Mus musculus: one gene and its partner. The protein of the gene in region 1 interacts with the protein of each later gene in a biochemical or structural test. Links are inferred from orthologs where the notes say so. Each region holds a gene or a part of one and is shown on either strand. Other genes may lie near its edges.

Region 1 (3,749 bases):
CAAGTGACTATGGGTCAGGGCCTGGCTGAAGACCCCAGGAAAGATTCACCAGGCACCCCGAGAGCCAGCCAGATTCTGGACAAGGGATCTGCAAGCAAAGTATGAACCTCCCGGTGGCACACACACACACACACACACACACACACACGGGATCTGCAAGCAAAGTATGAACCTCCCGGGTGGCACACACACACACATGCACACCCACACACCCACACACCCACACACCCACACACACACACACACACACACACACACACACACACACACACACACACACACACGGTAAGCAATCCCAGACCTGTCTAAGGACAAAAAGCTCTGGGAAGTTTCTGAAAGAACAAAGGTGCAGAGAAAAGCAGTGGGGCTGGGGAGAAAAGCCCCCGAGTCATGCAGTGAGAACTAAATGACCCCCAGCACCTGCTAGCCTCCCACAGAGAGGGAGCGCTTAGGTGTGGGTCCCTAAGACATAACACAGGCATCCAGGAGAAACACAGCAAGCTGAGTCTAAGACATGTTGGCTGTGACAAGCCTGTGGACAACCCAATGGAGATGGCCTAAAGGCAACATCCAGAATGGTTGGAACCTCCAAGAAGGCATCCCACCAGGCCACACAGCTCTCAGGGACACCAGTATAGCAGAGGGCAGATAAGACCAGCCACCTGAACAAAGAAAGCAGATGGAGGGGAGAGACAGGGAAGGGGAGGGACGAGACCTCAACGCCTTGTGAAGAGACAGGAAGGGGACTCATGAGAAAAGAGGCCCCGAGAAGGGAGAAAATGCTACTGAGCAGTCGGGAGGTGAGCTGAGGTGGATTTTCAACGGTGGTTTTGGTGCCTGCCTAACATGTACGGAGCCCTGGATTCAATCCCTAGCACAGAGATGGAAGGAAGGGCAAGAAGTAAGAAAGACAGGCGGCGGGCACAGAGGAGCTGCAGTCCTTCCGCAGAGGCTTCCCACAAGGGTGCCAAGCTGGAGGAAGACTCAAAATATCCCAAAGCTGGGCATGGTGACAAGTGCCTGTATCTATGGCAGGAAGATTATTAAAGCACAGGGGTTCAAACTCAGCCTAGGGGATAAGGGAGGGAGGGAGGGAGGGAGGGAGGGAGGGAGGGAGGGAGGGAGGGAGGGAGGGAGGGAGGGAGGAGAGGAGGGAGGGAGAGAGAGAGAGCTAGAGACGCCTGCTGTGTCACACACTGGCCTTAGGCCCTACCATTGAGAGCCATTGGTTAGTGCTTGTGTGACCGGGACCTAGAAGGCAATTCAAACACTTGGGGCAGGCACTAAATTTCAACCAGATAATATACTCCAGAAGACCAGTGTGTGCAGCCAAGTCTATGAACCCATGGCTAAGGGTCACTCACGTCTGGGTGGGAGAGGAGAAGGGCAAGATTTAGGGAAGGAGCTGTGTGGGGGATGGGCAGGAGTTCATGGAGGCCTCCAGAGCCACGCCAAGGACGCTTCTTACCTGATATAGAAGCCCCGCTTGGGGTTGCTTCGCAGAGATGCAGTCCCTGAGCCCAGGCTACTATTCATAAGCTGTTCCCGAAGATCATGGATCTTGGCCTCGAATCGGCTATACTCTGAGAAAGGACAAGAAGGTTCTGGAACTCTGCCCCATCCTAATGCCACACCCCGCCAAACCTCACCCTACCCCTACTGAGACCACCTGTCCGTCCATCAGCTAAAGACAATGCTGAGGACCACCTTAGCCAACAAGACAGGGAAGCTTAGGCGTGGTACCTTCTGGTTTATACTGAGCGATGATCGTGACCGTCTGACCCGCGTTCTTCAGGGCAATGGCAGCCTGTTCATGACTGGCATTGCGGAGGTCAACACCATTGACCTAGAAAGGGAGAAGACACTGTCACCTGGGATGGGAAGACAATTTGGGACTCAGTGAGTCAGGGAGTGGTCCAACCGGACCTGGCTTGAGCCCATTGAGCCCCTCCCCAAGAGCACAGGACTCTCTTTGGTGGGCAGTGCAGACCCTTGCACGGGCCTCTCTCACCGACAGGATCTGGTCCCCCTTCCGTAGCTCCCCACTGAGGTCAGCTGGACCCCCAGCAAGGATGAAGGAGATGAAGATGCCTTCACCGTCCTCGCCGCCCACAATGTTGAAGCCCAGGCCGGTGGAGCCCCGATGGATCACGATCCGCCTTGGTTCCCGGGGAATATCTTCCTCCCCTAGCAGGTCCTTGGCCACGGGGGAGTAGCGCCGAGGGGAAGTGGGGGTCATGGCTGTGGGGTAGTCGGTGCCCAAGTAGCTGCTATGACTGATCTCATTGTCCAGGTGCTGAGAATATGCTGAGGGGAGACAGGGTGAGATGAAAACGCTTTGACGGTGGTACCCACCCTTCCACCCTCTCCAGAGGGAGCCCAGAGCCAGGCTCAGCCAAAGAGGAGTTATTCTGCCGAAAAGGTTTGTGGGTAACCCGCAGCAGCAGGGGTCAGAAGTTTACAGATGACATCAAAGGGATCTGAAGGTCGTATGTCTTTAGTATGGCAGGAATGGGGACAACAGGGGAATATTAGCATCATGCTCTTTCAGACTGCCTTCTGATTAAAGTGTCTCTCGGGTCTCTCAATCCACAGTATTCCTCTCCCTTTGCCCAGTCATTCCTGGTTTCTGTTTGTTGGTTGGGTGGTTGGGGTTTTTTTGTTTGTTTGGTTGGTTGGTTTTGGTTTTGGTTTTGTTTTAATTGGGTCATTTGTCTAAAGTATTTTCCCACATTCTTTGAGGGCTAGCAGTCTGCTCGTTTCCCTGTGGTCTTGCTTAGCCTGTGCCCAGCTCAGCACCGTTTTTGTTTTCCCAGATTTGTTCTAGAGGCTCAGTAGGCTCAGATTCAACGTGAAAATGTTCACCCAGGGTGGAGTCCTGTGCCTCCCAAAGAATGCAGTGAAGTCTGCTGGGTGTGGTACCCACACTTCAGATCCACTGGGGCAGCCGAAGCACATTGAGTTCCAGGCCAGCCCGGGTTACATAGTAAGACCCTGTCTCAAAAGGAAAGGGGAAGTGGGGGCCTGTCTGCCTGTCTTTCTTGAACTGGCAGGTTCTGAGGTCATCAGGCTGGCCTGCCCATACAACGTGTTCTATCAGGCTCCTTCCGTAGTCCTTGCAGGCATTCAGGATGGTGTCTAAGGCTGATGCTCAAAGAGACTGCCAAGTGTTAATGTTGTACAATCATTAATAAGATTTTTTAGAAAGGACCTGCTGAGTGCTGTGTTCGAGCCTACTATCCCACTGCTGTAAACCGAAGGCCGGCGTGGGTTACATGAGGACTTTGAAGCTAGCCTGGGCTACATAATGAGACCTTATCTCAAAACAAAAACGGTAAGAAGACATACAGACCCACACACGCGTGCACACAAGAACTGCTGCCCAGCACCTTGAGCTTACTCTGTGATAAGCTTACACAGAGGAGAGCGAGTGGATGACTGATTCTCTCCCTTGCTTACGTTTCCAGGAAGAAATGGTAGGCCTCTAGATAACCTAGCGTCCTCCAAAGGTAACAATGGAAAGTTATCTTGTCATGAAGATGGGAACACAGGCTTTGCTCAGCCTGGACATTCACTGCATGACAGACCCCCAGCCTGTGTCCATCTGATCAAGTTTGGTTTTGGTTTTACTTTCAAAGATCTATGTTCCTTGGGCCTTGGCTGAGCTCAATCGATCCTCCCACTTCACACCTTTGAGTACCTAGGTCTACAGACATCCACCGCCATGCCTGATTCCCAACATTTTTTTA
Region 2 (4,214 bases), on another chromosome or scaffold:
TTGTCATGGTTTGAATATGCTTGGCCCAGGGAGTGGCACTGTTTGGAGGCATGGCCTTGTTGGAGTAAGTGTGTCACTGTGGGTGTGAGCTTGAATACCCTTGTTCTATCTGCCTGGAAGCCAGTATTCTGCTAGCAGCCTTCAGATGAAGATATAGAACTCTCAGCTCTTCCTGTACCATGCCTGCCTGGATGCTGCCATGTTCCTGCCTTGATGATAATGGACTGAATCTGTATTCCAGCCCCAATTAAATATTGTCCTTATAAGGGCTGTCTCTTTCATGGTGTCTGTTCACAGCAGTAAAACCCTAAAACAGAATTTTTCTAAATTGACATAAAACTAGCCATCATTGTTCTATATTTCATATTTTATGCTTTCAGTTAAAATCACAATGTTTTGTTTTACTATATACCTCTTATTTTTAATTTTCTTTTATTTTCAAGATTATAATATAATCACACCATTTTCTCCCTTCTCTTTTCTCCTTCCCAACTCTCTCCTATACCCCTTCTTGCTATCTTTCACATTCATGGACTCTTTTTATTAATTATTGTTACATAGTCAATATGTAACAATATGTTATACATATATGTTCCTAAATACACAAATACAGCCAGCTCAGTCTGTATGATGTTATTTGTATGTTTTCAGGGCTAGCTGTTAGTATTGGCTAACCAATGGTATTCCCTGAAGAAGACCATTTCTTTATCGGCTGAATGCAGTCTTCACAGTTAATCAGTTATATTTAGACATCTCCCAGTCATTCATTTAGATTGCCTTTAATTTTTCTATTATACACAACATCATTAATATCTCCCTGTATACAAGAGAGACTACATTTAAGACCATTAGCGATATTTAAAATCAGAGAACGTTTTTATTTACCAATCTTCACATAATAACCTGAGCAGGGTCCCTTGTTTCATGCTGCACGTTTTGCAGTCTTGCAAGCAGAGAAAGCAGCCCTTTCCATTCGGTAAAGCGACTGTGTCCTACTTACTGAAAGACAGGAGTACATAACTAGATTTCACTGGTTCTCTAGAGACATCCTGGAGAACAAAGTATTGTCTTTGGCAATTGGGAATATATTCCACATGTATAACTTAGTGTTTATACGTCCAACTGCCTCTTGCTTTGGGGTCAATACCTTCATCCTGTCTAACGCTAAACAACAACAAATGATAAACAGCTTCCGATCCATTTTCCTGCCCTGCAAGTGAAAGTTCTAGTGAATAGAGACTGCCTTTCAGGAGTAAGGTGTGTAGTTAAAATAAATCCCCAAATTCCTAACTTTCACCTTACCACTTTCCCTTTGTCACTGGAGCTCCTAAAAGTTTGGTATGAAGTCTTCTGATTAGGGCGGGACTCCACGTAGCCTAGCAACCGCTTCCCACTCTCTGATTGGCCGATCTCTGGGCAGCCGCCATTTTCAAATCCCCGGATGACGGCGGTAGCCGCTCTCTGCTAGAAGGCGACTTGCTGCCTCGCAGAAGCTGGCGGGCATTGTGCCCGCCACGATCGGTCTCCTGGGCACTGGGCCACCGCCCCACCAACCCCCCTTCTCCGGACATGGAGCCAGAGCCGGCGGCTCAGAAGCAGCCCCGACCTCGGAGGAGAAGCCGCAGGGTCTCAATGCTCAGCGAGGAACCTGCCGCGGGGCTTCCGGCCGACACACCCGGGCCGGCGGCGAACGAGAGGTGAGGGTGGCGGGAGGTGGGTGAGAGCCGGGGACCGAGTCTGGAGACTCAGGACGGGATGGACTGGACGGTGGGTGACCAAGGACTGGCAGTGCAGTAGGGGAGGTTGGGGAAGGCCGGGCAGAAATGCCGCGGGAGGAGAGTGCGCTGCCCGGCGGGCTGCACCGAGGGCTGCACAGCGACTGCTCGGCCCTGCGTAGAAGGGGTGGACTCGTTGGACTTGTTGACAATCTCCTTTAACCCCGTCCCTGGGGAACCGTACATCTGCACCAGAGCTGTTCTCTACCAGAAACTAGTTGTGGATGCAGGCGCTCAGATCAAGACTGTCGTGGACCCTGTGATGAGAAGAGGAATTGTCACCTGAACAGATACCAACCCTTTCAGCCTAAAAGCGGCTGTTCAAATGAAATGTCCTTTGCAGACCAGAACAGGACAGGCTCCTGGAATGAAGAGATCAGAGAAAGACTCTTTCTGGCTTTTCAGTTATTAGCACATTTTCACATTCTGTGTTGTATCTTCATTTCTATGTGTCTGGGAAAGGCAAACACTAGGTTGATTTCAGAAATCTGTGTCTGGAAGAGAGGCTGTGGGAGTCATAATATTTTTATTAAATAGGAAATTGAAATGGCATTTGTCTGGACTACTCTGTCATTCTTTTGCCCTTCGAAATATGAGAAATGGTCTCAAAGTACTGAATGCAATGGTTTCCCATTATAACGTTAGACATTGAGTTACAAAGTATGTAACTTTGTTCAAATCTACGTCTACATAGTGAGTTTATGATAGTGTCTGCCTCATATAAGGCACTGTGTGAACATCAGTACTTATCATGGGCCTCGGCAGAAAACTCGGCAGAAATCTTGTCTGTCAGTTTTAAATCTGTTAAAGTAACAGTGCTGTGTCTGCTCCATCTTTTCAGACATCCCCATGGTCCACTTGACATGATTTCAGGGTTTTTTTGGTTTTGTTTCTGAGACAAGTTCTCACTGTGTAACTTGGTTACCCCAGAACTCACTACCTGTGTAGAGACGCTGGCCACAAACTCATATTGTACTTCTGTACCAGAGCTGTTCTCCATGGAAACTGGTGGACTGTAGGTGGTCTTACATCCATAGGACTATTGGTGAGAAGAGGAATTGTCACCAAGCAGGCTCCAAACCGTTCTGCCTAAAAACTGGTCTTTCTTCCTTAGCCTCCCCCTGTTCTCGGATTGCAGTGTGAACCTCGACGCCCAGGTCATTTGATAGGATGTTAAATTAATCTTTTATATAGCTTATAATCTAATCATGACAAATGGTTTTGAGGAAAAAGCAAACACCTTACTTTCATTATCAAGGCATGGGCAAACCCATTGTATTAAGTAACTCTATAAAGAGCTAGATTCTTTCAGTTAGTACTGATTTTTATGAGTTTGAAGTTTAAGGCAATATTTACCAGAATTCTTGCCTTCTGAAACTTCCTCTCTTCCAATCAGACCGTGTGTTTAAGAAGTCAGAGTGCAGAAAGAAGGCATCTTTGAGACTGAGAATTACAAGAATTAGGATGGGCTAGTGAAGGAGCAGAAAAGGAGGACTTCCTGAAGATGAACAGAAGCAGTGCTTCATTCCACGTGTGCTCAGTGTAATACAGTTGCACCTGCCCTAGCATCAGACACTGTTGAGGATGATGGGGATTCAGGTGAACAAAAGCAGATGGAGCGCTTGCTCTCAGGAACCTTAGATTCTCTTGGGAGGCGTTGGTCACATCATGCAGTGAATTTAAGCCTTTTTGATTCTGTGCAGAAGAGGAAAGATTCTAGGGCCCAGAGTTGGTAGATGACTCCAAGGAAACAGTATCCTCCAGACATAAGAGCACTGATGCACATCTAAACTTACAGAGATTGAAGGAATGCACAAGACCTGCAACAGGTTCAAACCAGACAAGATCCTAGCACTGAGAATGGGAGAGTTGACACACCATCCCACTCAGAACCAAGAAGCTGTTTGCAATTGATACCTCCTGGGAAAAGGAAAATTGTTGTTTTGTTTTGTTCCAGTGGAGTATTGGTATATCAACCACACTCCAGAGCAAGGCCCATGCCCAGGTGTCTTGGTCACTGATCCATTTTTGTGAAGAGACACCATAATCGAGGCAAAACTTAAAGAAAAGGTTTAACTGAGCCTGGCTTACAGTTTCAGAGGGTAGTCCATTATTATCATCATCATGGGACGCATGTAAGCAGACATGGTGCTAGAGAAGTAGCCAGAGCGCTTTATCCCCATCTGCAGGCAGAAGACAGTCTGACAGGGCCTGGCATGGGCTTTTGAAACCCCAAAATTCATCCCCAGTGACATACTCCTTCAACAAGGCCACACCTCTTAATCCTTCTAATCCTTTTCAAGAGTTTGCATTCAAATATATAAGCCTATAGGTGTTGTCTTATTTTCAAAACTTACTTTAATAAGGGTTCTTAAATGCTTCAACCTCCATTCTAACCTACCACCCACCAGAAGTAATGAAAAGGTTAATAGGGCAAAG

The links.
Region 2: the proteins of Dlg4 (region 1) and Net1 interact in a biophysical measurement, tested with the Homo sapiens proteins (2 studies listed by IntAct, with this or other methods). The link is inferred for Mus musculus from reciprocal best matches to the Homo sapiens genes DLG4 and NET1.

What each region holds. Positions count from the first base shown.
Region 1 is NC_000077.6:70,037,581-70,041,329, reverse strand, and holds part of Dlg4 (disks large homolog 4 isoform 6 precursor), read right to left. Parts: intron 2,308-3,749; coding exon 2,012-2,307; intron 1,847-2,011; coding exon 1,744-1,846; intron 1,584-1,743; coding exon 1,469-1,583; intron 1-1,468. UniProt on the Homo sapiens protein: Postsynaptic scaffolding protein that plays a critical role in synaptogenesis and synaptic plasticity by providing a platform for the postsynaptic clustering of crucial synaptic proteins.
Region 2 is NC_000079.6:3,915,421-3,919,634, reverse strand, and holds the start of Net1 (neuroepithelial cell-transforming gene 1 protein), read left to right. Parts: upstream 1-1,414; 5' UTR 1,415-1,569; coding exon 1,570-1,697; intron 1,698-4,214. UniProt on the Homo sapiens protein: Acts as a guanine nucleotide exchange factor (GEF) for RhoA GTPase. May be involved in activation of the SAPK/JNK pathway Stimulates genotoxic stress-induced RHOB activity in breast cancer cells leading to their cell death.